Linked DNA regions of Elephas maximus indicus. The protein of the gene in region 4 interacts with the protein of the main gene of each other region in a pairwise test. Links are inferred from orthologs where the notes say so. Each region holds a gene or a part of one and is shown on either strand. Other genes may lie near its edges.

Evidence for each region.
Region 1: the proteins of GRB2 (region 4) and ASAP1 interact in binary tests that used the Homo sapiens proteins (3 or more experiments, as listed by UniProt). The link is inferred for Elephas maximus indicus from reciprocal best matches to the Homo sapiens genes GRB2 and ASAP1.
Region 2: the proteins of GRB2 (region 4) and GAREM1 interact in binary tests that used the Homo sapiens proteins (3 or more experiments, as listed by UniProt). The link is inferred for Elephas maximus indicus from reciprocal best matches to the Homo sapiens genes GRB2 and GAREM1.
Region 3: the proteins of GRB2 (region 4) and HELZ interact in a two-hybrid assay, tested with the Homo sapiens proteins (2 studies listed by BioGRID and IntAct). The link is inferred for Elephas maximus indicus from reciprocal best matches to the Homo sapiens genes GRB2 and HELZ.

Annotation. Positions count from the first base shown.
Region 1 is NC_064833.1:12,929,863-12,936,784, reverse strand, and holds the start of ASAP1 (arf-GAP with SH3 domain, ANK repeat and PH domain-containing protein 1), read right to left. Parts: upstream 3,011-6,922; 5' UTR 2,925-3,010; intron 1-2,924. UniProt on the Homo sapiens protein: Possesses phosphatidylinositol 4,5-bisphosphate-dependent GTPase-activating protein activity for ARF1 (ADP ribosylation factor 1) and ARF5 and a lesser activity towards ARF6.
Region 2 is NC_064829.1:39,925,099-39,932,464, forward strand, and holds the start of GAREM1 (GRB2-associated and regulator of MAPK protein 1), read right to left. Parts: upstream 3,011-7,366; 5' UTR 2,576-3,010; coding exon 2,455-2,575; intron 1-2,454.
Region 3 is NC_064837.1:56,636,773-56,643,633, reverse strand, and holds the start of HELZ (probable helicase with zinc finger domain), read right to left. Parts: upstream 3,011-6,861; 5' UTR 2,947-3,010; intron 2,463-2,946; exon of another isoform or gene 1,606-2,462; intron 1-1,605. UniProt on the Homo sapiens protein: May act as a helicase that plays a role in RNA metabolism in multiple tissues and organs within the developing embryo.
Region 4 is NC_064837.1:65,722,137-65,729,946, reverse strand, and holds the start of GRB2 (growth factor receptor-bound protein 2), read left to right. Parts: upstream 1-4,788; 5' UTR 4,789-4,977; intron 4,978-7,810. UniProt on the Homo sapiens protein: Non-enzymatic adapter protein that plays a pivotal role in precisely regulated signaling cascades from cell surface receptors to cellular responses, including signaling transduction and gene expression.

The DNA of each region.
Region 1 (6,922 bases), on a different chromosome or scaffold from region 4:
AGCAGTTCCTACGTGTGGGAGAAAAGACCTGGTGATCTGTTCCCATGAGGATTACAACCTAGGAAACCCTATGAGGCAGTTCTATTCTGTCACATGGGGGCACTGTGAGTCGGAACTGACTCAACGGTCCACAACAAATTCATCTTTGCATGACTGGTACCTCCCATGGGAGGGGTTGCACTTAGCAAATGTTTGTGGAAGAAAGAACTCTGAATTCCAGGTGATTCTGAGAAGTGCAGGCTCTTCTGGGCACAAATGGAACTCCCAAATGGGTTCTCTCTCTTCCTTGGGACTTCTTAGGAAGTAACAGGTCTGGGGCATATGGCAAGCGCTGAATAAATGTACCCATCATCATCACTAGGGTTGGTATCACCCAGTGCAGTGCGGTAACTCATGGTGTCCCCCCATCCCATACTAATTATCACAATATTGTAACTAAAACACCAGAAAATTTGACAAAATCAGCAGCTAAAAAAACACCAGCAGCAAGAGTGCGTGCTTCGAATGCGTGCAGATGAAAACACGTGATTCAAAGTGTCATTGTAATTGGGTAATAATGACAGATCCAACCAGAGCGCATTAGGAGATTCAGAAAGTTTTAGCCTTGTGGGTATATTGATACACATAAGCTGGGCTTATGAAAAATGTTTTTGTTGTTCTAACTAACTACAGGGATACTTTTATTAAAAATAATAAATTCATGCTGAAACACTGCACAAAAATTTCACAGAAAGTCATTTGGGTGTCACCCCCTCTGACAGTGTCACCTGGTGTGGTCTGCACCCGCCACAACCCCCTAATGATGTCACTGCTTAGGCGGTGATCATTTGTGCAAACCCTAGAAAGGACTTCTTCCCCAGCCCACGCCAGATACAGTGGCTGTGCAAGAAGTGAGTCGAGGAAACACAAGAGGGAATAATGAGGACAAGGCAGCAGGATTCAGTCAAATACAGCTGAGAATCGGGCGGGAAAAATTAGCAACAACGTCATCCTAGGTAACACGTACTTCCTTCTGTCCTCCAGACCTCAGCCACCCGGACACAGTGCAGGGGTGCCTGCTGCAAGGGGTCCTCATGAGGGAGGGTCTGATTTGAACACACACATCCATTTTTGGGGCCAAAATCTCGGACTGATTGTGAAACTCTGACTTACTGTGGGTGATGAGGACTGGGGAAGTGCAGGGAATTTCAGTTTCCTTCACCAAATGCCAAGTTCTCAAAAAAGTCCTTTCTCTCCAACATTATCACATACTGAAAATGAAAAACCAGCCACTCAGAGCTCTCATGGGGAGAATAGACGGACTGCTTAGCTCGCAAGAAACAGGAGGGCTGAAAATCAAGTCTAGAGAACATCATATTGTACACTATGTGCAAAGATACTGCCTTTTTTTGGACTCGGGAGTTCCCATAATCTCCATATAATAAGCCACGCATTGTACATTTCAAATCCATTTAGTGCTGAATCTCAGAACAGGAAGGTTTAGAGAATTTTTAACAACCTATCTCAAAATACGCAGTCTGAGATAACTGCATATTTGGAAAATAGCAGCAAGAACAGGTAAGACGAAACAAGAGAAGGCACTAAAGCCATAAAGGTTATGATGCAAATAAGACAGATTTCGAAAGCCCAGTCTGGGGCTGACAGACCATAATCTGCCCTACTGGAAAGAATACAACCCTGGGAGTCTCCAGACTTGAAGACTATTCCTGGTCCTGCCACCAGCTGGCTGTGCATCCTTAGGCAAGTCACAGGGCCCCTCCTCTGTGCAAGAAGAGGCTGGGCCAGATTTCCTCTAAAATCCTTTTTTCTCTCTAAACTGTTGAGGCTGGATGTTCCCAGAAGGCCTGGATCTTCTGGATGCTATACCGTGGGCCTCCAATTGCGAAACGGAAAGGTCTTGGGATGCAGGTTGCAAAAGAAATAAAACAGGCCTGAAAACTGAGTTAAATTTTACAGTTCCAAAACATTACTCAGCAATCCGTCCCTGGCTGCCATCCCACTGACTGGCATCAATTATGCTAAGACAATCAGACCAGTTATAAGGATACATGGTGGAGAAAGTTCTTATTCCTTCTGATTAGTATAGGTAAAACTGAGATCAACTTATCCATGGTCTGGAGTTGGCTGTCCGTCTCCCTGAGCTAGTGGAAAAAGAAATTATTAAAGGAAACCGCTTAAGGAGTGCCCGAGATTAACTCTCAGGAGGTACGAAACCGCAGAAGGCCGGGCACCAGCGAGTTGCTTTTTTCTTTTAAACTTCATGTCTCTCAGAAAACGCAGCAGGTCCCCAAAACGGTACAAAGGGTAAAACACAAGCCACTTCCCTTGTCTTCCCTGAGCAAACGCCAAGCCCCAAGTGGGGTTTTTCCCATTTCATTTCGTCTCATTTGCTTTAAGCAAGTGGCCTGGGGCCTGCCTGGCAGCGTAGTGCCCGGGCTGGAGTCGGGGGCCGGGGGCTGCAGGCGGTGGCCGGGCCGGCCCTCCCAGGAACCGCGGGGAACTTTCCTCCACCGCGCCAGGGAGACAATGCAGCGGCCAGCGCCCGCGCCTCCGCGCCTTGGCCCGGGGCGCGCAGTCCCGTCACCACATCGGGAGGGGGGCGCAGAATGGCCCGAGTGGCCTCACCCGCCCCACCTCGGTGCTTTTGTGAGCGGGGGCCGCCAGGCGCGCCGCCTGGGCCCCCTGCGGGAAGGGGACGCAGAGGCTCTGCTCGGCCTCGCCCGGCTCTGCGGAGCCCATCTGGCGCCCGCGCCCCCCCAGATCCCAGAGTGCCCCCTTCCCGCCGAGGGAGTGCCCTGCTGGAAATGGAACCCAGGCTCGCCAGGCTCAGGGTCCCGGAACCGCTCCGTGCTGGGGGCCGGGGAGGGGGCGCAGGACGACCCCCGCCTGGTCCCGCTGAGCCCGCCCGGGCGCCCGCCACTCACCGGGACCGTCGGGCCGCTGGGCATTATTCCATGGCGGGCGCCCGCGCCCCGGCACCCCTCCGCCGGGCGTTCGCGGCTCCCGGAGCTGAAAGAGGAAGGCAGCTGTGGAAACCCGCGGGGCGGGAGGCGCGGGGCCGGGGGCTTCCCGAGCGCAGAGTGCCCGCCCGCGGCGGCGGCGGCGGCGGCCAGGCGCGGGACCGAGCGCGGCGCAGAAGAGGCGGGCGACCATGTGCGGAGGGGCGGGAGGCCGCAGGACGCGCGGCGGCTCGGACGATCCCGCGCGGCGCGGAGGGCGCGGGCTCCAGGAAATCCAAACACTTCGACAGGAAATCGGAATCCTGACTAAGCATTCCCGGCCGGCGGCGCGCCGCGGCGGGGGGCGCCCGCCTGCCTTAACCCTTGGGCCGCCGGCACGGAGGCGGGGCGCGGCGGGCACCGGGGGCGCACTGGGCGGGGTGGGACGCCCACCGTCCTCGGCCCCACGGGCCGCGGGCCCGCCATCTCCTCGCGCAGAGGTGGGCGGGGTGGGGTTTATCCAGATACAGCCTTGGCCTTGGGAAGGGCCGTTGTAAGGCCCGGGACCCCGGAAAATGTCTCGACCCCTCTCCCTTCACTCAGAGGCTGGACTTGCAATCCCCTCTCCTTTACCCCGACTTTCAATTAAAAAATGACTACATCTATCAGCCTCCTTTCGCCGCTTCCTCTCTCCTAATTTCCTCATTTTTGCCCAATGCGAAGGGGGACAGGGCCTTTCCAGGTCAGGATAGGATAGTGGTTAATAGTATGGACACAAGACTCCACAACCTGGATTGGAATCTGGCCTTTGCCTTTTTCTAGCTGTGTTACTGGTGGCGCAGTGGTTCAGAGCTACCGCGAGCTATGGCTGCTAACCAAAAGGTCGGCAGTTCGAATACACCAGCTGCTCCTTGGAAGTTTTACCGGGCAGTTCTACTCTGTCCTACAGGCTCGCTTTGAGTCGGAATCGACTCGGTGACAGTGGGTTTTGTTTTTGTTTGCCTTGGACAAGTTTCTTAACGTCTCTGAGCCTCAGTGTCCTCAACCTGAGATGGGGTGACCAAGTATTTAGACAATGACTGACGCATTACAAACATGCAAATAAATGATAACCATTGTTGCCGTTGTAGTTGAGAACGATTAGGGAAAGGAGAATTTTAATTTGGGGGGTATGCCCGGGTAGGGCAGTTAAGCCCCGAGCTGCTTAACCAAAAAAGATGCGCAGATGGAACCCACCAGCTCGTTCAAGAAAGAAAGATGTGGCAGTCTGCTTCGTAAAGACTGGAAACCCTATGGGCATTTCTACTCTGTCCTGTAGGGTCACTGTGAGTTGGAATTGATTCCACATCCACAGGTTTGGTTTTTGGTTTTGGCACTGTGCATGTCCCCACCTTCCTACAAAGCCTGGGCCAGCGGTCTCTCCCCTTAGAACTCCTTTTCCCCCCTAATCACCGGGTGATTATTTTTCTTTGCAGTCCTTCAGAAATCGCTCTCTGCAGAACAAAAGGTTAGTGGCTGCAGCAACCCCTTTCTGGTGAAACCTGAAACCCAGCAAATCTCACGGAATTTGGGGTTTTGTTCTTAACCTGAGTCTGAACATTGAGAGGTTTGTTAAAAAGTCTGAAGAAGACAAAGTTTAGGAAAACAGAAGTTATTCTCTGCCCAGCCAGGCCTAGACAGGGTGACCAGTGAGAATGATTCATTATGATTTTCCATGGAAATGCCACATTTGGGGGTTTTCTACCTAGAGGGTACAACTTGGTGGTTTTGCTGTGTTTCAGATTCCTTTACTCAGACTTTGAAAGGGGAACAACCTGCCCGTGAGTGAAAACAAAAGCTTGAAATGAACCTTTTCAGAACTGAAAGTTGGGTATCAGCTTCTGTTCTCTGGGTGGTGCAAATGGTTAACACACTTTGCTACTAACCAAAAGGTTGGAGGTTCATGTTCAACCACAGAGATGCCTCCGAAGAAAAACCTGGCAATCTGCTTCCAAAAAATCATCCATTGAAATACCTATGGAGGAGAGTTCTACTTCGACACAGATGGGGTCACCATGAGTCTGAATCAACTCAACAGCTACTGGTACTGGTTCTCCAAGTAAGGACCAGACCTCAGTGTTAGACCCAAGTTTGTCATCTTTCCTGCAACTCTTTCAGTGGTCAGAAGCAGTGGGACGCACCCAAGGCTCGTCCAGTTTCTGCCTCTGGCCCTTTGCAGCTATTGTTCCCTTTGCCTGGAAAAATCCCCAATGGTCGAGTCTCGGCACTCAGCTCATATCCCAGAAGTCAGCTCTTCAGAAGGACTTTCCTCAGCTACTTGATATACTTGTCTCTGGCATCTCCACTCTCCTGCACATCACATGCACTGTTTTATTGATTCATAGCCCTTGTCACTATTTCATTTATTTTATTATTTGGTTGGAGAATAAGTTGAAGTTGTTGATGATTTCATTCTACTTGGGTCAACAATCAATGCCATGGAAGCAGCAGCCAAAAAATCAAACTACGTATTACATTGGGCAAAGCTGCTGCATGTGACTTCTTTTAAAGTTTTAAAAAAGCAAAGATGTCATTTTGATGATTAAGGTGTACCTGACCCAAGCAATCATGGTCTTCTCAATCGCCTCATATGCATGCAAAAGCTGAACAATGAAAAAGGAAGACAGAAGAAGAGCTGAAGCATTCATATTGTGGTATTGGCAAAGAATATTGCATATACCATGGATTGCCAGTAGAATAAATAAATCAGTCTTAGAAGAAATACAACCAGAATTCTCCTTAGAAGCAAGGATGATGAAACTTTTGTCAAAGAGCAAACTGGAGTTTCTGTTAAAATTAAAGCAAAGACTTTTATTGAAGGAACAAAGCAACCCAATCAGGCAGCACTCCATGAGGATTCACGAAAGTACTCCAGTGAAAGAATTTTTCACAGAATTTAAGTACAGAAAATCCAGGAACTTACAAGGAAAAAGTTCTGACTGTTTGACATTTACAAAATCATGTTTTAACAGACGCTAGACAATTTCAAGATCCCATACACATTGTTTTGTTAATCATAAAGTCTGAGTCAGTTAACATCTTGTTAATCTGTGGATATTTTGGGGACCAGCCTGAGTGACTATTCTTCTTGGGAGCACACTGTGAGAGGTAGGGGGAGAAGTGGAGGCTGCAGACTTCCTGGGGTATGCTGGCTAGCTGACTTTTGAATGTCTCAGAATAAGCAGTAGAGAGCAAAAATGGAGTCCAACCTGCAATTTTGGCAGAAGCCTCTCCTCATGCCATGCACCTAGATTTTTTAAAAAGTTCTTTCACAGCTTCTCTTCCCCCCTCTCCTCCTACCAGCTTTTTGATTAAGAATGTCTATAGAAATTTGCTGGTCATTATTAGAAAAGTGCCTTCTTCTGCATGGATTTACCAACTCTTTGCCTTACTATGTATGGAGCTTCATCTTCAGGGTAAGCTGGTCTCACGTAGCCCATAAAGGAGAAACTCATCTTCTACAAGGGCCTTTTTCGTTGGTTATAGATGGTGTGTTTATTAGGTGGCTCCCTATTCTAGATAAGCTTTTAAGACCCCAGACATATAGTTGGGCATCATCTGTTTATTGGTGGCCACTTACCTTCATAAGCCTTCAAGACCCTGGTCACTATCATGCAGATAGCCAGGCACCCACCGTACCATAGCTTGGATCTCTGCTTCTGTGATCTTTTAAGAAGGGGTGTATAAGAAAAAAAAAAGAGCATGGTTGAATTCATGGGAAACCTTGGCGGGGGAACACAGGCCAAGGTGAAGAGCTAAGTTATTTTTTAAGGAAATGCTGTTTTCTTCAAAATACGTGGTCTTTTGCACAGTAAGTAGTATCACATTGTGAGTATCTGCATTTGAAAAATATTTCATAAAACATTTGATTAATCCTATAATGACAATTATAATGATTAAGAGAATTAATCTGGTTTGTAATTGAATGTAGCCAAGAACCAATT
Region 2 (7,366 bases), on a different chromosome or scaffold from region 4:
TTTTATTAAAGCAATTTGATAGTGTGTATCAAGGATATGAAAAGGATTCACATGTTCTACTCAGCAAGTTAGGAATATATCTTAATCAAAATAAATAGCTTTATATACAAGCATGTTCATCGTATCATTACTTATAATTGCAAAAAGCTGAAGCAAACTAATGTGTACAATACAAAAAAACAAGCTAGTTGCCATCAAGTCAGTTCTGATTCATGGCTACCTTGTGTGTTTCAGAGTAGAGCTGTGCTCCATAGGTTTTCAATGGCTTTTTTTTTTTTTTCTGAAGCAGATTACCAGGCCTGTCTTCTGAGGTGCCTCAGGGTGGGTTCAAAGCACCAACCTTTCAGTTAGTAGCCGAGCACCTAGCCATTTGTGCCATGACGTCTACAAAAGGGGGCTAGATTATACAGTATTGCTGTTCTGTGGCATATTATGCAGCTGTTAAAAATCATGAAGTCTCTAAGTGGTACGAATGGAAAAGCGCTGTTAACCTAAATGGAGGCTCGAATCCACCCAGAGGCACCTCAGAAGAAAGGCCCATCAGTCTACTCCTGAAAAAAAGAACAGCTCTACTCTGACTCAAGTCAGAACCGACTTGATGGAAACTGATTTCTACTAAAAATCATATTAGCAAAAGATACTAAAACAGCATGGGATTGTCAAGTGAAAGGAGCAAGATAGAAAGTAGTCCTTGGCTATGATTCTAAATCCTTGTGTGGCACTGTGCTTCTCAAGTGGTCATAAGAAAAATAAGAGAAATTTACAATAAAGAATCAGACTTACACACAGCTCAAAATCCAGTACATGATGTGAAAGGACGCAGTGTTAAGACCTCCTGCCCATATCCTAATTTTAAAAAGAGCTGTGGGATAAGTACTCTGCTGAGTCAGATCCTTTTTATGAATGGCAGGGACAGGAATGTGCACAATAAAACTAAAGTTTTATCTGGAACTGCTATTCAGCCTTCTTAAACTTCCAGTTTAATGAAGCTTTTGGGTGGCTTTCACACCACTTGCACCAGTGCTCTCTGCCTAGCTAATGGGTTGGCAGAGTATGCAACGTTGAGAGAAGGCTGGACAAGGCAAGGACTCACAACCTTCCAATATACACAGTTTTGCACAGCGGAGGAGGAAATGAAATACTGTGATTTTACACACACACACACACACACACACGCACACCAGGGTCAGGTTTCCATATACATATTTAAGGTAGGAAACACTTTTCCACCCCCATTCTAAGCAGAAATGCCTCAACAGAACACCTGTCTCCCCAATCCTCATCCATTCAATGGCTACTGTCATCCCCAGTTCATCACAGGTTTTAGAAATCTTAGTTCATTCCCAGTGCCCACCACAACCACCACCAACTGAACGAGACTAGCAATTCCTTTGGGCATCTATTACATCTCACGTTACACACTCTTACTCCAGAAAACAAAGAGGAACCCAAGTCCCTGTGATTGAAACAGTAGTGCACTTCTGACTTGGCCTGCGTGGCCACAGCTCTATCATCCTGCCTGCCTGCCTGGGCCCAGGTGTTTCCAGCTGCCCCACTGGAGAGGAGGCTTCTTTCTGCCAACAGCCTGGAATCCAATGAAGCCAAAATCAACTGAAGTTATTCTGAAAACACAGGAGAAGGCAAAACATGCCTAAATTGCCACCTTACATTTCATAACTCTCAAACTGAAAGGTGTCTACTTGTTTGACGGTATACACATCTATCTACTTGTTTGCAGATGTCACACTGCAGAACAAACAGGGGATGTTTGGTTGGTTTCTGGTGGTCAATTTCAGGAAATACAAGAGCGTCTTAGTTCTGAGCTCAGGTTCCAATGAATTTTTTGGTGACTTAATTTTTTTTTTCCAGGCTGGAAATGCGCTAAGCTAATAATTAACCTGAAGCATACCATCACTTCTGCTCCAAACATTTTCTACACACAGCCTTAAATTACTTTCAGTTCGGTTAAACAAAAAAGACAAGCTGTAATAAAAGGTCTCTGAGAAATATGATCCCTTTCATTGGTCACCCAGGAGCTTTTCCTCTTAAATCTGCGGCTGCACCCAAAATAAAGATACCACCCAGAGCACAATTATTTTCGTAAGAAAGTTGCCTAAGATAACTCTTTAGGGTTTCCCGGGTTGTGTAATTCTTGCAGGCGGGTGGGGATGGACAGCTCGCCTCCAAGATTACTATCTGCATAGGTTTCCCCTATGTTGATTTTTAAGCGTCCTTTTCAATTATACTGCGAGGGCTCTGATTTCCGCATCTCTGGCTGCTGGGGGGAGTTGAGAGCAACGCGCCAGGGCTGCGGTGGCCGCTCGGGCCAACTCCAGGGAGCTGGCAGCCCACTCCCCCACCCGGTCCCACCCTCTCGGGCACACGCGCACACACCCGCGCCCAGATTGCGGTCCCCGCCCGTCTCCCCTGCGCGTCGGGGCAGCCGGGACTTACCGCTGTCCAGCCGCGCGATCTGGGGCAGCCGGTAAGTGCTGACCAGAAAGTCGAGCGGAACGGCCACCGAGCTCCACTTCACATCCTTAAGGCTGCAACCCAGCGAAAGCGCCGGGTCCATCTTCCCCGCCTCCTCCTGCCCCACGCTCCCTCCGCAGCCGCCGGCACCACCGCGCCTCGGCGGCCGCCGCTGTTTGCGCTCGCGGTCTGGGGCGCGCGTGAGACGCCGGGAAGCTCCGGCCGCGGGCAGCCCGGGGGCGCCGCGGCTGAGCGGACCTGGAGGGATGGGGCCCGCTCCGGCTCAGCTGCTGCTGCGGGGCATGGCTAGACGCCCCAGTGCACTCAAACCCGGGGAGGACTCGAAGCAGCCCGGCTGAAGCGGACGGCGGCGGTCGGAGAGGCTGCGGTGGCTCCCGCTCTGCCTCCCCCTCTGGCCCTGGGTCTGCAGCTGCGGCGGCTGCCCGCTCGCCTCCTCCTCTTATCCCTCCTTCCCTCTGCCTCGAGCGTTTGAGGAGGAGCTGCGGGTCTGAGAAACGCCATAGCAGCGCTCCCAGCACTGACTAATCAACAAGGTGCGAGCAACGCCTGCGCAGCTCAGGGAGACACCGCCTCCTCCCCCGCCTCCCCGGCGCCGCCCGCTCCGCCCTCCGCTCCGCCCGGGCCTCGCCGGGCTCCGGCCCTGCAGCCCGGCCGGCGGGCGGGCTCGGCGCGGCGTCATCTGCCAGGCCCGGGCGGCGGGCGCGCGGGCTTGGCGCGCTCTGCAAGCTTTAGCTCTCGCTCCCCCGTCCGACCGCTTGCGCGCCCTGCAGCCTCGCCGGGCGCTCAGACTCCGTCCTTGCTCAGGGCCCTTCCTGGAGACCCAAAGTTGCAGTGTGAGCTCATGCCTCTTTCTCTTAGTCGTGGAGTCGGTACCCTCCCCCCACTTCCCACCATGGCACTAAAATCTCTAATAAGGGTTGGAAAGAGACCGATTTGGTGCTCACGTCATGCTGAGTAGCCTAAACTTTAAGTATGTAGACCAGGAGAGTTCCACAGAGGAGGGTGGAAAAGGCAGGAGTTGACAACTACTCGGCATTCCAACCACCGCTCAAGCCCACTCCAAACCCTGCAACTCAGCAAACGGAGGCAGAAGTGACTCCCCCCATTCTGGACACTGGCTGCTAGGAAGAATGAAAAAGACTGAACAACTGAGCAGCAAAAAGCTGAGGGATGATCAGTACTCAAAAGGGAAGGTGATGGTTCTATTTAGTACATGGTTGTATAAACAGCTGGCGACCTTCATAGACACACCGAGGGAAGGGGCAAACTACGTTATTGACAGTATGTTGTTAGGCTTCCTATAGTGGATTCCGACTCACAGCGACCCTATGTACAACAGAATGAAACGCTGCGCAGTCCTGAACCATCCTCACAGTGTTGCTACATTTCAGCCCATCATTGCAGCCACTATGTCAATCCATCTCCTTGAGGGTATTCCTTTTTGTCCCAGACTCTCTACCAAGCGTGATGTCTTTCTCCAGATCCCTCCTGATAGCATGTCCAAAGTACACCATCCTCACTTCTAAGGAGCATTCTGCCTGTACTTCTTCCAAGACAGATTTGTTCCTTCTTCTGGCAGTCTATGGCATGGCATATTCAATATTCTTCACCAGCACTGTAATTCAAAGGCATCGATTTCCCTTATTCACTGTACAGCTTTCGCATGCATATGAGGCAATTGAAAATAGCATGGCTTGGCTCAGGAGCACCTTAGTCCTCAAAATGACATCTTAGCTTTTTGACACATTAAAGAGGTCTTTTGTAGCAGATTTGCCCAATGCAATACTTATTTGATTTCTTGACTGCTGCTTCCATGGCTGTTAATTGTGTATCCAAGTAAAAATTGAGAGTCTACTAGGGTGTTTTCATGTACTTGCCACACTCAACTCTCTTCCAAAACTGGAAGGGTGTAATAATTTGCGTTTTACAGATATGTGTACCAAGACATTAACTAATTTGGCAAGATTATACAAACTTGTAGATGACTGTGATAAGGCTTAAACCCACAGTTTGCTTTCCATGATAAATCATTCCCCCCCCTTTAAATAGAATAAACATTACACTATCAGAGGTGAGTGGTTGCTGAGGTGAAAAAGTTACATGTTGACTCTTTCCTGGCTTCGCCACTGTCTTAGATATCTAGTGCTGCCATAACAGAAATACCACAGGTGGATGGCTTTAACAAAGAGAAATTTATTTTCTCACAGTCTAGTAGGTTACAAGTCCAAATTCAGGGCGTCAGCTCCAGGGTAAGGCTTTCTCTCTTGTTGGCTCTGGAGGAAGGTCCTTGTCCTCAAACTTCCCCTGGTTGAGGAGCTTCTCAGGTGCAGGAACCCCGTGTCCAAGGCATGCACTCTGTTCCTGATGCTGCTTTCATGGTGGTATGAGGTTCCCAACTCTCTGCTTGCTTCCCTTTTATCTCTTGAGAGATAAAAGGTGGTGCAGGCCATACCCCAGGGAAACTCCCTATACCTTGGATCAGGGAGGTGATCTGAGTAAGAGTGCTGTTACAATCCCACACTAATCCTCTCAACATAAAATTACAATCACAAAATGGAGGACAACCATACAATACAATACAATTGCCTAACCAAGTTGATACACACATTTTTGGGGGGACATAATTCAATCCATGACAACCACATACTTGGTATTCAGTGCAGGATAAGGCAGAGCAAGCATCCTGCTTCCCCGTCTGTCATGGATTGAATTGTGTCCCCCAAATATATCTGCCAACTTGGCTAGGCCATGATTCCCAGTATTGTGATTTTCTACCATTTTGTCATCTGATGAGATTTTCCTATGTGTTATAAATCCTATCACTATGATGTTAGTGAGATGGATTAGCAGTAGTTAGGTTGGTGGGATCTGCAAGATTGGGTTGTGTCTTAAGGCAATCTCTCTTGAGATATAAAAGAAGCAAGCAGACAGACAGGTGGACCTCATACTACCAAGAAAGCTGCACCAGGAGCAGAGCACATCCTTTGGATCTGGGGTCCCTGCACCTGAGAAGCTCCTCACTAGGGGAAGATTGATGACAAGGGCCTTCCTCCAGAGCCGACAGAGAGAGAAAGCTTCCCTATGGAGCTGACACCCTGAATTTGGACTTCTAGCCTACTAGACTGTGAGAGAATAAACTTCTGTTTGTTAAAACCATCCACTTGTGGTATTTCTGTTACAGCAGCACTAGATAACCAAGACAGAATTTGGTACGAGGAGTGGGGTACTCCTCTAACAGATACCTAAAATGTGGAAGGACTTTTGAAACCGAGTAGATAGAGGACTCAGAAGGACGTGAGAATATCTGTTACACTGGAGGTGGCGTAGGCTGCAAGAAGTGGCAGAGAAGCAGCAGCGGCAGAATCAGGAGAACAATGCAAGATGGCACTGGAGCTGACCCACAGAGCGCGAGAGCTGCGTGCCTTTGCACAGGAGGCTTCCTGGCAGAGTAGAGCTAGGCTTGCGCCACCCACAGAGCAAGAGAGCTGAGTGCCTTCTGGCTGAAGTTTGCTGGCGGAGTGTGGTGCCTCCAGGCACTTACCAGTGGAACTACAGAGGTTTGGAACACTTGCCCCAGCAGGGCAGATGTGGTTGTGAAACCTGAGGGGCTGAGAGGCCAAGGAACCAGGAAGCAAAAGCTAAGGAGACAAGAAACACAGAAAGTTGAGCTGCCTCAGTCTTAAAGGGTATGGCCACAACCTCTGGGGTTTCAGAAGGCAAAACCATGGCCTCTCGTGTTTCTAAGGCTGGAGCTGTCATTCAGATGGACTAGGAGAATAGTGTTCCTAAAGCTGAGGAAACAGAGTTGCCGTCCCAGTGATCCTGGAAGGCAGAGCTGAAGCCCAGGACGGAGGGGCCTCCACTCAGAATCCAGAGAGTGTGGCTAATACCTACAGTCTGGAGGGCAGGGCCATTGTGTAAATGGTCTCAGAGAACAGAAAATTATTTTCAAGACTTGAGAGCTAATGTAATGTGTTCTACTGACTTGCTTGGTGCCTGTTACCCCTTCTTTCCCTCCAGTTTTCTCGTTGGTAATAGAAATGTCTAGCTTGTGCCTGTTTCACCATTGTACTTTGGAAGCAGATAACTTGTATTTTAGATTTCACAGACGAAAAGGAATTTTTGGATTTTGGATTTGCAGTTGAGTTAAGACTCGCCGTGATATAATGGAGTAAATGTGTTTTACGTGCGGCAAGGAAATGAATTTTGGGGGGCCAAATGGTGGAATTTCTTGAATTGTGTCCGCCCTAAAATATCTGTCAACTTGGCTAGGCCATGATTCCCAGTATTGTGATTGTCTACCATTTTGTCATCTGATGAGATTTTCCTATGTGCTGTGAATCCTATTACTATGATGTTAAAGAGATGGATTATCGGCACTTAGGTTGACAAGATCTACAAGATTGGATTGTGTCTTAAGACAATCTCTTTTGAGATATGAAAGAGAGAAGCAAGCAGAGAGACAGGTGGACCTCATGCCACCAAGAAAGCAGCACTGGAACAAGAGCACGTCCTTTGGACCCAGGGTCTCTGTGCCTGAGAAGCTCCTCGGCTGGGGGAAGATTGATGATAAGGACCTTCCTCCAGAGCCGATAGTGAGAGAAAGCCTTCCCATGAAGCTGACACCCTGAATTCAGACTTCTAGCCTACTAGACTGTGAGAGAATAAACTTCTGTTTGTTAAAGGCTTTGACTTGTGGTATTTCTGTTACAGCAGCGCTAAATGGCTAAGGTACTGCCCAAGGGGACTTGAAAACATTCTTCTCTGCCATTTAGTGGGATGGCTTAAAAGTTCTGTGCCAGTGAATAAACCACCCTATTAACATTTGAAGAAAAAACTACACAAATATACTTGCCTTCCTTATCCTCTCATT
Region 3 (6,861 bases), about 9.1 Mb from region 4:
TAGTGTCCTAGCTTCCCAGCCAAAAGGACAGACTAAAAAAGCTATGTCTTTATTCAGCTCAAAGACTCAGACATCAACTTCACCACAACCTTCAGTACTATGCTATTTCCTATTACAGAATACTTTGTGTACCAAGTTGTTTGGTGGCCAACTACTAACTTCACTTTAAAGTGGATACTAACACTTCACATGGTTTACTTGTGTGAAAATTATGGAAAATGCATTGGCACGTTTCAGGCCAAACGCACAAGATTAGCGACTTAGAAATGTTAGGTTTTAGGCTGCAAATGAACACCTCCACAACCAAACAGCAGATCATTGGCTGCTTATCACAAAGTGATCTGTAAGTTTCTAAAACTAAAATAAAAGGTTGAAATTGGGTGGCATAAGGCATGAATATGCCTCTATCTGCAAAATGGAAAAAAAAAAATACAGATAAAAAAAAATCGATGTTTTCCCTGTCAAAAATACAAATAAAAATTATATATAATACACACAGGCAATGCTGAGTGTCCAACATGAGCAAATGTGGCGTGTGCACTTTAAAAAGTATCTTGGTTTATGTTCATCTTCCTCTCCCAAGCTTTTTTTAAGACAAAATGTCAATTATATGCCTAAATCTAAAAAATAATAATAAACACAGTTTATTCTTCCTAAACAGGTGTTTTAATAGATAGGAAAAGTTTGTGACGTGATTTCAAAATCCAGGGGCCGCCCAGATGTGTTAAAGAGGAAAAAAAAAGACCTGCAGTTATCAGTCTACCATGATTACTTACATTTTTCTAAATAAGCCATAATAAAAATATTTTTTGAAGTAAAGAAAAGGCTGTTTGGAAAAATATAAAATTAGCAAACTTCTCCCTCTCTCTCTCTTTTCCCACCCAGCACAGAACGCTGTTCACTAGCACTAGATTAATAATGTCCTTTAATCCAAAGCATTACAAGTTATTTTAAATAAAAGCATCACCTTCAGTTTCTCCAAATATTCAAACGCAAAGTGTGGCCAGAAAATAATGGCAAATCAGCCTTCTCCCTAAGAAGCTAAACAGAACTCCACACTATTGTTTTTATGTCAAAATAAAGTGTAAGAGAGACAGGTACTATTCCACTTTTCAATAAATAAAAGTAGGAGTGACTGATTTGCATAAACTAATTCTTTCCAATAGAGTGTACTTTACAAGAGTCCCACAAGCTATGGATGCACAAAACCCACAACCACAATTACTAATACTCAATTTGAAGTAAGCTATGGAAACCAAAACACAGATAAACTTAAGACACCCCATTACAGTTACACAAGGAAATTTAAATAGGCAAGCTATAATTACCCCTGTTGAAGATACTGATCAAGGATAGCTGCACACAACAGTTGGCTCTGGATAAGTTCCACTAGGTTTGAATTTGTTGGAGCCCCTGAAAAGTTTGGTACACACTGGACACATTTTTCCCTTCTAAACCTGGCCCTCTCTATACACCCACTTGACTAAGTGATATTTTTGGAAAATAAAGATGGTCCATCAAATTGAATTTAAAGTTTCAGCTTTACCCTTTTGAGATGATTAACATAAAGACGGAAAATAGATAATGTTTTAACTGCAGCCTCACCTTACACATCTCACCAGCACTGTAGTTCATTAGTGATCAATTACTTCATCCAATTCCTGAGGCAAATAAAAAAGTAAAATTTGTCTATACACCACCAGTTAAAGACATTATCCGTACCATATTATCAGCCTGAAGTGAAAGGGCATCTAAATTTCAAATGGAAAAGTTACCAAAATGATACAGTATGCAGCTTTGCAAACGAGGTTGTTTCTTCTACTTAAAAATAAAAAAACATTTTCCTTTCAGTGAGATAGATCATAAAATGTTGTTAAAATCAGAAACATTACCAGAAAAGTCATCTCGGCACTGATGGACCTTACTTTAAAAAAATACAGGAGAAACCTCGTGAATATGAGCTCAAGAGAGGGCAACGTTAGGAACAAATTGGCCAGGACAATTACCCCTCCTCCCGTCCCCGATCCAGGAAGAGTTGTACTTTTTATTACATTAATGATTTGCTTGAAAAGTGTAAGTTATGAAGGGGAAGGAAGGACAATTTTTGAGTTCCAAACGAAACCTGAGGCTCCCAATCCAAGAAGAATCAGAAGATCCTGGCTTCCAGGCCTGCCTTAAGCATACTCAGCCACAGGGACGGTGCAGAAGGAGCAAATGATTTGGGGGGAGAGGAATCAAAATTCCCTAGACAGGACTGCAGTCTCTCAGGCCTTGAAAAGGCGACTCTTAAAAGAAATTTTCAGAAAGGAATAGTCTTTTTATTTTCGTGGATGCGCTTGTGGGCCAATGAGAATTTCCGAGGAAGGGGCGGGGGAAAGGGGTAAGAAAGTCAATCTCGGGCAAACAACCCTCAGCGGGGGAGGGAAGGGGCGCGCCCCTGACCCACTTTTCCGGACACCCACCCCGCCCCAGCCCCCGCCACGCCCCACCCCACGCCCCTGGAACTCCAAGCCCTGAAGGGGGAATCGAGCGGGGCTTGGGAGGCCCGCACGCTCCCCACCCCCAGCCGGGACCCGGAGGAGGAGAGCGTGCAAGAAGGCTCGACTCCCCCTCCCGGAGTGCCCCGGGCTGGGAAAACCTCCCGCAGGCTCCCGGGCCGGGTTTGCAAGGCCCCCTCTCGGGGCCGGGCCGAGGACGCCACGGCCCCCCGCGGAGGGAAAGGGGACAGAGGAGGGGAAGGAGCTGTAAACAGCCCCTGCGTCCGGGCCTCGCCTCGAAGAGCCCCACTCCCCAGGCCCCGCCGCGGGCCGCCCCAGCCCCCAGCCCGCCCCCGGGACGCCCCTCTAGGGGCCTGGGGGGGTAGGAGGAGGGTCAGGCTCCCCCTGGAGGGCCCCGGCAGCTGGCGGAGCGGTCCCGGCAGCAGAGAAGGGGGAAGTCAGGACTTACCTGTCATTACTTTCTACGCCATCTTGGATCCACTTGTCAACGTCCCCACAAAGCATTATGGGTAAGAAAGAGCCTTTAAAGTGACTCCCCACCCCAGCCCCCGACTCCCGCCTCCCGCCGCCGGCGCCGCCCCCTCCGGCCGCACCTCCCGCGCCGGAAAGTTGCCCCCGGTGTCGGGCTGGACCCTCCGCCAGCAGCCCGGCCCCTCCCCCCCGTCCGGGAGGTTTGCATTTAAAACTTGCCCCCTTTGCTAAAAGGTGGCTTTGGATTTTCCTTTTTCTTTTTTTTCTGTCCCTGGCCTCCCTTCCCCCCACCCCTCGCCTCCACGATGGTGCCTTTTGCCGCGCCGCCCTCCTGCCTTGGCAAACGCCCCAAGTCTGCATTTAATCAGCCCGAGGTTTCCCTGCCACTGGCAGCCGAGAGCTGCTCATTGATTTATTTATGCGCATTTGTGTGTCTGTTAGTGCTCCTTGTACTTGGTGCCCGGCGCGCGCTCCTGCGGCGAAGCGTCTCCGCTCCCGGGCACTCGAGGCTCCAGGGCTCCCGGGGGGGAGGGACACATCGGGAACCCGCTAGCCCCTGCAGCCCAGCCGGCTCGTGGCCGCCCGCATTCGCAGGCAGAAAGGTGCCTCTGTCCTGGCAAATCGCTCGGGGGCCGCCAGACTCCGGGACCTGCGCGGACGCCGTGTCCCCGAGTCAACCAGCTTCCAAGCGCGTTAAAAAAAAAAAAAAAGTAATAACGCTAAATACAACTCCCCACCGCCGTTAGTTCTCTCTCCCGCTGACTGCGGCCCTTGGCCAGTAACGTGATCCGCGACCCTGGGGGGACCCCTCCCCTAGGAATGTGGCTTTGGGCTCAGCCGGATCCACCCTTCTGGAGTCAGGGCTGCGCACAGTGACTTCCCGGGGCTGGTAGCGCGGCGGCGCAGGCTGCGAGGGGGCCGTGGTGGCGCTCCAGGCTGGGGTAGGGTCCCCGGCGAGAAGGAGGATGCGCCCGCCTGGGTTCACCTGCCTGGCCGCGTTGGGGCCGGGAACCCTGGTGGCCGAGTGTGGGGAGGACCGCGGGCGCCGCCTCCTGCCCCTGGTGGGACACGCGGACTCGCCTGGTGCGACGGGGTGCTCCAAGAGGTAGGGGGCGCCGACACGCTGGGCGGGGGACCCGTGACCCAGGCGAGTGACCCCTCATCCCTCAATGCCCTCGCGCCCCCGAGCATCAGGCCGGCGGGCTCTGCAGGGGAGCCAAGGTCTCTCCCTGCTCCTCCCGCCCGCTGTCGGATGGTCCCGCGAACGGAGCTCTAGCCCCACAAGCTCTCGCGCTTTCCTCCTGCCCCGCGGAGCCGGTGCATCCAGCCGCCCAGATCCCCCAAGAACCGAAGGCCAGTTCCTCAGCCCCCGCTCGGTCTCTTCCCAGTGCCTCTGTTCTCTGCTTTGTATGTAGACTTTGGGGACAACTCTGGTTGCCTTTTTTTTTTTTTTAACAAGCAAGTTTTTACAAGGAGTTATCCAAAAAGAAAAAAACATCCTCCAAGACATCAATGCTTGCGAAACTGTAGTCGAGATGAAATGCTGTTGGATGGCTTTGAAATTAAAAGAATGTGCCGGCAGGGGCGATAAACCCTCCACCTCCTTGCACGGGTAGGGCCTGGGATCCTGGGTCTGCCCAAGGGTGTTTTGCGCCTCCAGACCCTAGGAAAGCTTCTCTCGAGGAACCTAGAGGGTTGCAGAAGGAGCCCTGCCCCCGGGGAGCTAAAACCTCCACCAGGCAATTGTCCGGACCAGAAGAGAAGGGTGAGTTGTAGACTCATTAAGGGATTGGCCCGGGGTCACCCATGAGGGAGGGAGCGAGGCAGTGAGTCACTCACAGCCCAGAACACCGCGTGCTGGGAGGGACCTCCCCTGAGTCACTGGCTCCACTGCTCCGAAGGAGTGGAGAAACCGGGGCCTGAAGCTAGGTTCTTAGATGTTGCAGCTCAGGCAGCCACGCTGGGTGCAGCGCCCTTGCCTAGACCCTCTGTCGCTTGTAGAAAACCGAGTGCCTCTCATGGCCGAAGAAGGTCCCACAATCTTCCATCTGGCCTCTTTTCCAGTTCCCCTTTTGTGCTTATTTAGCCATCTAATATGCACTGATTCAGTGGTTGCTTTGTATTTATATGGCACCTTTAGGTGTGTGGTCTGGGTTTCTTGTAATTAAAACACTAAAGCTGAGGGCAAGGACTGTGCCTCCCAAACCTGTTTGGCAATCTCTCTTTGCCTCTTAATGTCTTCACCCCGAGAAGTGTTCAGTTTATGTGACTGCCTGACCTCTTCACCAACTCCAACGTGATTCCTGGTCCATCCCTGTCCAAGATGCCTAAGCTAGCATGTTGTGAGTTGCAGTCCTTGAGTAAATTCTGACTCATGGTGACCCTGTGTAAACCTTGCAGACCTGTCCATCTTCAGGATGGTTGATGTGCGTGAGTCCATTGTTGAAGTCACTGTGTATTTTTTTTCCAACCTAGGGTACTCATCTTCCAGCACTTTATCTGACGATATTCTGTTGTGATCCATTGCTGATTTTCAGAAATAGATTATCAAGCCTTTCTTCCTAGCCTGTCTTAGTCTAGAAGCTCTCTGAAACCCGACTACCACAGGTGACACTGCTGGTCTTTAAAAGACTGGTGGCTTAGCTTCCAGCATCATAGCAACACCCAAGCCACCACAGCAAGACAAATGGACTGAAGTGTGGTGGAGCTTTGGGATAGCTTCCTCTGATCCCTGCCTCCAGTCTGCCTCCATCTGGCAACCCAGTGAATCAGGTCATGTAAATCAGGTCATGTGACTTCTCTGCTTCAAACCGAGGGAAGCACTACGTGGGTCATGACCAAAAAAAACCAAACCCACTGCTGTCCAGTGGATTCCGACTCATATCCTCCCCATCATACTTGGAATAAAACCCAAAGTCCCAACCATGGCCTACAAAGTCGTTCATGAGGTAGTGCTCTAAGCCACCTAAAATATAGTAGGGGAAGATACCAATGGCTGCCCAGTCGATTCTGACTCGTAGCAACCCCATGTGTGTCCGAGTAGAACTGTGCTCCATGGGGTTTTCAGCAGCTGATCTTTCAGAAGCAGATCAGCAGGACTTTCTTTGGAGGCCCTTCTGGGTGGACTCAAATCTCCACCCTTTCAGTTAGCAGCTGTTTGTACCACCCCCAGGGACTCCAGGAGGAGGTAACAGGAGTTAAAAATTTAACAAAATGTTAAAGCCTTGGAATCTTCTATCTCCTTCTACTTTTAGGCCCACTTCATTTTTACTTGAATAGAAAAGAAGGGATGGCGGACCAGATAATTCAGGCCAGCCCTCCTATTGAGAACTAAAATATGTGGACAATTAAATGAAATGTACGTGGTTAACTACAGTGCAAAACTACCAGAGACCAGCAGAGCAGGGAGGTGATCCTGGCCTTCCGGCTTCTTTTGTTCTGGGGGCATTTGCTTTCGACAGCTCCTGGAGCCTAGAGCAAGGAGCAACACATTTTTATTTAAAGGACCAGATAGTAACTATTTTAGGCGTTGAGAGCTACGTTCTCTGTTGCTTATTATTCTTTGTTCTGTTTTTTTTACCCCCCGTTAAAAATATAAAAACTGTTCTTTGCACTGTAGCCCTACAAACACAGACTGTGGGAGGAATTTGACCCATGGGCTATGGTTTGCCAAGCCCTGGTCTAGAGGGACGGTTCTTGGGGTCCAGTGATCTACTAAGGGAGGCACTGGGTGTGGTGAGCCCCAGCTGGGAAGAATATTTTACCACTGACATTTAGAATTGTTTGCATATGATGATAATAAAAAGTGGACAAAATTTTACTCGTTTTTAATATTGTTTATAAATGCTCTAGAGGCAGCATACCTCTTATGGCCTGCCCTCAAGATGACCAC
Region 4 (7,810 bases):
TGAGGACAGGAAGTCAGGGGACTTGGTGTCCCTAATGTGGGGCTAAGTATCAAAGGCGACCCTCAAAGCCTGAGAGGTGTACGAAGCTTTGGCTCCCAACTTGAGAAAAGGAAATTCTAGATTAGTATTTCCAGGTCAATGGGATAAGTGGGAGTAGAATTTCAAACGACCAGGTTTAGACTGTCCTTGGCTGTCTGGTTCCTCCCACAGAGAAAAGCTCAGAAATGTGCCTGAGATGGTCTTGAGCCTACTTCTAGGGGAGAAGGTTAGATGTAAGGCTAATTGTATACAGGCCTCCAAAAAAAAAAAAAAAAAATTGCGGTGGAGCAAATTTTGACTGAGGGCGACCCCATGTGTTGCGGAGTAGAACTGTGCTTCATAGGGTTTTCAATGGCTGACTTTTTGGAAGTAGGTCTTCAAGGCTTTTTTCCTAGCGGCCTCTAGGCCAATGCAAACCACCAACCTTTCATTTTGTAGCCCAGCCTGTTAACCGTTTGTACTACAGACCTTCACAGACCTCCAAGGTAAGTAAATTTCAGGGCAATATCCAGTTTTCACCTCGAGGTGGCAGTACCATAACTCCCAGAAAGCAAAGCAAGATACTCTACCTGTCGACTAAAATGAACCGCAAACCCCAAAGAGAGACTTTTTGATGATTAATTTATGCATTATGAAATAACTGATGTAGCCAGTTTGTAATCAGCAAGTTTCGCAACAGTTATAACAGGTTTTCACATCAGGGCGTGACTTTGACTTCACAGCTTGCTTCTTCCCTCGTTTTCAGAATTTAACGTTGGCGGCCATACGCATTCAAAACACTACTGCCTCTTCTGTGTTTTCTCTGTGGGGAATGATCTCTGGCAATGCTCTCTCAAGCTTCAGAGTCTGCGTCTGCAGAACAATAACAAAAAGTAATGAAAAGATAATGTAGCACTGTTTTTTTTTTTTGGTCACCCACAATTGCTCCATTTCAACACAAATATTTTTATTTTTAAATATTCCCTTCCAAATCTGGTCCATATGCATATAATTTTACATAGGAATACTCAGAGACGGTTTTATCAATGCTGCATTTTAAAAGGAAGTACATAACTTTTTTTTCTGCTCTCTTAGGCATCTAGTCTCTTCTGAGATCTTACTTCCTTAGCTTCAAATACCATCACTGCACAGAAGAGCAGCCACAGGTTTATCTCTAGTCAACCTTCATTCTTCAGCCATCTATCCATGTGTTCATTCATCCATCTACTTAGTCACTCTGTGAATCCTATTTTGTACCAGGCACTGTGCTGGTTGCTGGGAATACAAACATGAAAAGGTGTTTGTCCTGGAGCTTGCAGACCATTAGGGGGCAGGAAAGCAAGCAAATAGTAATAATGCAGTGAAATGAGATGTATGATGGGAATTCTGGAGAAGGAGCCCTAAGGCTGACTTGGAGAACTAAAGAAGGGGAGAAGGCCAACCAGGCAGAGGAAACAGCATGTGCAAAGATAAGGACACTCAGAAGATCTGACACTCTCCGGAAACCACAAAGGGTTTAGTATTGGTGGAGCCTGTGTTGGGGGAAGGGGGGAAGGTTGGGTTGGTTGAGGAAAGGTGGGTGGGGCTGGGGAACAGGGGCCAGATATCAAAAAAACAAGGGCCTCAGAAAGGACTTGAGATACTATCTTGTAGTTGATAAATATCTCAGTTCCAATTGATTTTCCACTCTGCAGCCAGCATGACAAAGAATTTTGAAGTATCTGACCATGGCCCATCTCTGCTTGAATATCCTAGAGAACCAAGTTTCAAGTCTTCAGCAATGCTGAAAAGGCCCCACATGAGCTCTCTGACCTCCAGACATATGCCACGTTCTTCTTCCCTTTGCCTTCTTCTTCGCAGCTAGAACTGGCATCCTTGAGTTCTCTCTTACTGTCCGGCCCTTGCACATGCTGTACCCTCCATCTGGAATACTCGTTCCCTCTTAGACTGGCTAACCAGGGTCTCAGAGCCTCTGCGTGGTGCTAACAGTTAATGCTCTTGGCAGCTAACCAAAAGGTTGGAGATTCAAGTCCACCCAGAGACACCTCAGAAGAAAGGCCTCGTAATCTACGTGATAAAAGTCAGTCACTGAAAACCTATAGAGCAGGTTGAGGATTGCGGTCTCGGGGAACATCTAGATCAATTGGCACAGCATAGTTCATAAAGAAAATGTTCTACATCTCACTTTGGTGAGTAGTGTCTGGGGTCTTAAAAGCCTGTAAATGGCCATCTACATATATTGGTCCCATTCCATCTGGAGCAAAGGAGAATGAAGAAAACCAAAGACACAAGGAAAATATTAGTCCAAAGGACTAATGGGCCACATGGACCACTGCCTCCACCAGCCTGAGACCAGAAGAACTGAATGATGCCCAGCTACCACCACTGATTGCTCTGGCAGGGATCACAATAGAGGGTTCCAGACAGAGCAGGAGAAAAATGTGGAACAAATTCAAATTCACAAACGAGATCAGACTTATTGGTCTGACAGAGATTGGAGGAATCCCCAAGACTATGGCCCCTGGACACCCTTTTAACTCAGAACTGAAGCCACTCCCGAAGTTCACTTCTCAGCCAAAGATTAAAAAAAAAAACAAACCCAGTGCCGTCAGGCCTATAAAACAAACAGTAACACACGTGAGGAGTATGCGTCTTAGATCAATCAAGTATAGGAGACCAATTGGTCAAAACCTGACCCAAAGCAAAGACAAGAAGTCAGGGACAGAAAACTGGAAGAATGGAAAAGGGGAACCCCAAGAGGAAAATGGGGCAGGGCCGACACACTGCAGGAATTACAATCAATGTCACAAAACAATTTGTGTTTGAATGAGAAACTAATTTGTTCTGTAAACTTCCTCCTAAACTGCATTAAAAAATAAAAATAAAAAAAGAACCTATAGAGCACAGTTCTACTCTGACACACAGGGGGTCATCGTGAGTTGGAATGGACTCTATGGAAATTGGTTAACTGGTTATGGTTTAGTCCTTCCCTTCCATGTCTATTTTTCTGGCCGCCATTCTAGAACAGAGTGTAATAGTGGGGGGGGGGGGAACATGTGTTTTTGAAACAAGATGGGTTCAAATCTTGGGTCTGCTATATGTGGTTTCTTTGGGTAAGTTACTAACCTCACTATGCCCCAGTTTCTAAATTTGTAAAATGGGGATATTAACCACTCTATACATGAACTGGGAAACCCTGGTGGCGTAGTGGTTGAGAGTTCCACTGCTAACCAAATGGTTGGCAGTTCAAATCCACCAGGCGCTCGTTGAAAACCGTTTGGGGCAGTTGTACTCTGTCCTATAGGGTTGCTATGAGTGGGAGTCAATTCGACAGCAATGGGTTTATACATGAGCTGTGACTTTAGTACATATCAGGTGCTAAATAGATGGTCCTCTTGTTATTACCATCTCACGTCAGATATCTACTTACAAACCATCAGAGGTTGCACATCACTTAAACCTAAGCTAAGCTTCTTGGCCACTATCTCCTTATTCCTTCCCCAAATCCTGGGCTATGGCCAGTCTGAAATATTGGCTGATCCATCATTTTTCCTCTCTGCTTTCAAATTCCAGCTGAAACACCACGTCCTCCCTGACTACTTCAGCACGAGAACTGTAATGGCTCCCTCCTCAGCAGTCCTATAGGTCGTTCAGTGGTACTTGGTGCCAGCGACTTCGACTTGCAGACTAGGCAACTCTTCTCTAAATCGTAAACTGCTGAAAGCGGAGGTTCTGTCTGGTTCATCTTTTAGCCTGCAGAGTGCATTGCCAGCAATTGCTGATCAATAAATATCTGGTGAAAGAACAATTCCTCTTCCTTATTTCAATAGGCTTATTTTCTCTATAGAATCAGATGTTTGGTTATTCTCATCACCATGCCATTTTGCCGGTTTCCAGAGAGCACATTCACGTTAGATGTGTTCTGTTGCCTCCTTTAATTGGAATACGCGTTTGGAACTGAAAAGAGGAGTTTTTTCTCCAAGTCTCAGCTTCTGCCACTCCAGGGTACTCACCCGCCTCGTGCAACCATCGAACTACTTAGCATAGCACAGCACAGGACATTCTCTCCCGCCTCTGTTACCGTTGCCTGGGATGCCCTTACCCTGGCGAACTCCTACTCGTCCTCCAAGACTCAGCTCAAACGTCACATCACCTTTTCTGTGAAGGTTTTCTACCGTGGGCTGAATGGTGACCCCTCCTTCCATCCTTTTCCCGTTTTCCGCAATCCCCAAATAATTACAGCAGTGCTTATAGCATTATTTGCTTACTTTTGTTCAACTTCTCTAGGCTGTGGATTCCTCGAGGGCCGGATTTTTGTTCGTCATTGTATCTTATATACTTAGCACATAGTAGGCACACGATTCCATCAAAGTGAACCAGAGCGTTAATTCACCCAACACTGCAGTTTGTATGGACCGGACTCTCAAACATTTCAAGACCTGGTTCTCTATTTGGAGAAGCTTCATACTGCAGGGAGCGTTTTTGTTTTTGTTTTGTTTTGTTTCATTACCTTGGGTTGCTGAAAGGGAAACGGAAAGTGATTACGGTCTGGCAAGAAGTACACCTTCAGGTCTGAGGCGTAATTTACTCGCTCTGGCACCGAGCGGGTTACAGCGGCCCGGGGGCGGAGCCAGCCCGGTGCCACGGGCTGCGGGGCGGTCTGACGCGTGCGCCCTGGCACGCCGCTCGGCTCCATTCGCGGAGGCCCGGCCGCGGAGGTGCGCTTGCGCTTTGGGCCTCTTCCGCCGGGGGGAGTCTCGCGGGGGCGGTACGCGGCAGTTCTCGCGGGACCCCGACGAGGAGCGGAAGCGAGGCGGCTCTGCTGCTTCTGCGACCCGGCGGCTGTGGGGGTGACGGCGGCGGGAACAGGAGCTGCCCTCGGGGAGTAGCAGCGGGATCGGCGGCCGCTCGCACCGCTCGGAGGGGCCGGTCGGGCCGGAGCGGAGTCGCTGCGCCACGGTGAGTTCGGGCGGCGTCGCTCGGCGCTGCTCCGATGCTTCTTCCTCCCCGCTCGGCAGCGGGAGGCGGCACCCGGCCGGGCCCGGGAGTCCGGGCGGGCGACGAAGGGCGGAATCCCCGAGGTTCCGACTCCATGCTTCCCTTTTTGGGGTGGTTCCTTTCTGGGCACCGTCCTCCCACGGCTTTTGGCTCTGGGCAGAGTCGCGACCCGGGGGAAGGGGCCGGGGGCTCTCTGGGTGCCTCTCGGTTAAATCTAGTGCCTTCATGGTGAGGGTGTGCGCAGATGGGGCCCGGGAGGAGCCGGAGAGGCCCTGGGTGCTAATTCTGTGAGTCAGCCTGACTTCGCCCTGGAGGTGGGGGATCCGGATCAGGCTGCAAGCGCGGGGATGCTCCTGCGACCTGAACGGCCACCACGTCACCATCTCTCGGTGTCTTTGGCCCGAATTTTGCAAGGGAATCCACTAACCCTGTTAGTACCGGGAGCTAGAACGTTTGCTGCCGGAGCCAGTAGAAAATCAAGCCCAACCCGTTGCCGTCGAGTGATTCCGACTCATAGCGACCCTATAGCGAGAGTATAACTGCCCCACAGTGTTTCCAAGGAGCGCCTGGTGGATTCGAACTGCCAACCTTTTGGTTAGCAGCGGAACTATTAACCACTACGCCACCAGGGTTTCCGGAGCCAGTAAGGATGCCCTTTATTTCTATCTCTAACTTTTCGAGCGTCTCTTTAAAAAATATGTCAGGAAAAATAAGCAGCAGTTGGCTGGCACGCTCCGAGGAAAGATTTCGGCCAGAGGGAAGTCCTGGTATTTGTCGTTGGGAACGCTCTGCGTGTATATATAGCTGTAAACTATCTGACTTACGGCTTGTTTAGAAACTTATCCAAGGCTGATTTCAAGTGTTATAAAAATGCAATTTGCAGAGGAGCTGAAGTGCACTGGAGGTCTAACTTTGGGTGCTGTTGACTCGGAAAAGAGTCAAAGAGACGAGAGAAATTAGCGTTAATCTATTTTGGCTTTCTTGTCTGTCGTTGTGCTTTTTCAGTTATTGCCTTCCGTTTATTGCTGCTTCTCTCACTTGCCCTACAGACGCTAAATGCTTACTTGTGTAATGCAAGTCATTTGCCTCCCCCCCCTTTTTTTCTTCCCTAACCTACTTCCCCTTCCTCTTTCCTCTCCCCTCTCGGTACAGTTTTTCTTTCAAAAGAGGTTTCTGCCGTTGGGCGCAGTTCGTTTTCTCCCTCATTTAAAGATCCCGTTTTCTTGCACGGGAAAACACCCGCTTTCCTGCTTTCATTCCTTTACTTTTAAGCTTCCACTGTGTTCCTTCAGTCAGCCAGCAGGGTTGCTAGAGAGCCGTGTGACACTGGAGTTCTCCCCCTGGGAACTGGTAGGCTCAAAGAATTGAATTCATCAGTAAGCAATCGATACTGCCGCTAGGTCCAGGTGTGGTTTGCTTCTGTTACGTGTGTTTTCGCTTTTCCTTCACTTTATGGTCGTGTTTTTGTGCCCGCTTTTGCTTCTCTTCCTGTGTGTCTTTTATACTTGTGAGGAAGATGGGGTCCATTTGGGGCTTAGATGACTTCTTTATAATTTTTAGTGGGGGTGGTTAATGCTAAAAGATGAAAATCGGTTATAAACCTGTGTTAGAATAAAGATGAGAAAAATGTATGGGAATAAAATTTATTCAGACCATTGATAAATCAGTTAAAGCCAAGCCAGTGTGATTGTTGTCAGTTGCCATCAAGTCAGTTCCGACTCACAGCGACTGAACACTGCCGGTCCTGCGCCATCCTCACAATCTCTTTGCTGTGCTTGAGCCCATTGTTGCAGCCACCGTGTCATATAAAAACCAGAAAACCAAACCCCTTGCTGTCGAGTCGATTCCGACCCATAGCGACCCTATAGGGCAGAGTAGAACCGCACCGTAGGGCTTTTAAGGAGTGGCTGGTGGATTCAAACTGCCGACCTTTTAGTTAGCAGCTGTAGCTCTTAACCACTGGGCCACCAGGGTACTTCTTTTTTCTTTATCAGACTCCTTTCTCTATCTGTTGTAATTAGTCGTTTTTTTTTTTTTTGCCAAAAAGAAATACCTTGATTTGTTCTGTTGCCCCTTCCGGTGTTTATAATTTATGAATCCCAAGATTAAAAAAAGACATTAATTCTTGTAATCAGCCTTCTTTGATGCCAAAATCAAGCGTTTAAATAAATGTTCGAGACAGTTTACTTCCTCAGCAAGTGTATTCAGATTTGGGAGGCGTACTTTTTAAAATTTTTGAATGGTATTAGTTTTTTTTTTAATTTGAATGCTATATTAGTTAATGATAACTTTTCAGTGTTTCTTATTATCATGTTGGCTGTGCAGCAAGTGTGTTCTAATTGTTGCGTAAATGAGAAGAGTCACGTATTTTGGAGAAATGGGGTTAATACAGAATTGAAAACCACCATACTCTCCTGAGAGAAATGAAGTTCCCTGACTCCAGAAGTATCCTGCAGCACTACTGAATGACCATTGAGATGCTTTTCTTTTTTCTTAAATTTGTCGAGGCTGCCTTTTTCCCAGTTGTGCCAGTTGAATACATATTATTTTCACTTTATGCAAAAACATTGTAGTATACTATCAGGAATGCAAATTTTAACATTTGGTTAAGGCACCCTTTTGTAGTACAGCAGCGATTCTTAAAATTTGGTATGCGTAAGAATCACCTGGGGAGCTTATTTAAAATCAAGTTTTGGGCCTAAGGCCACTATGTTGTAGAACTCCAGGGGGCACCCCACGGTAAATCAGTCTCTGAATGGGGTGATTTGGTGCAGATGGTCTGTGGGCCCAAACT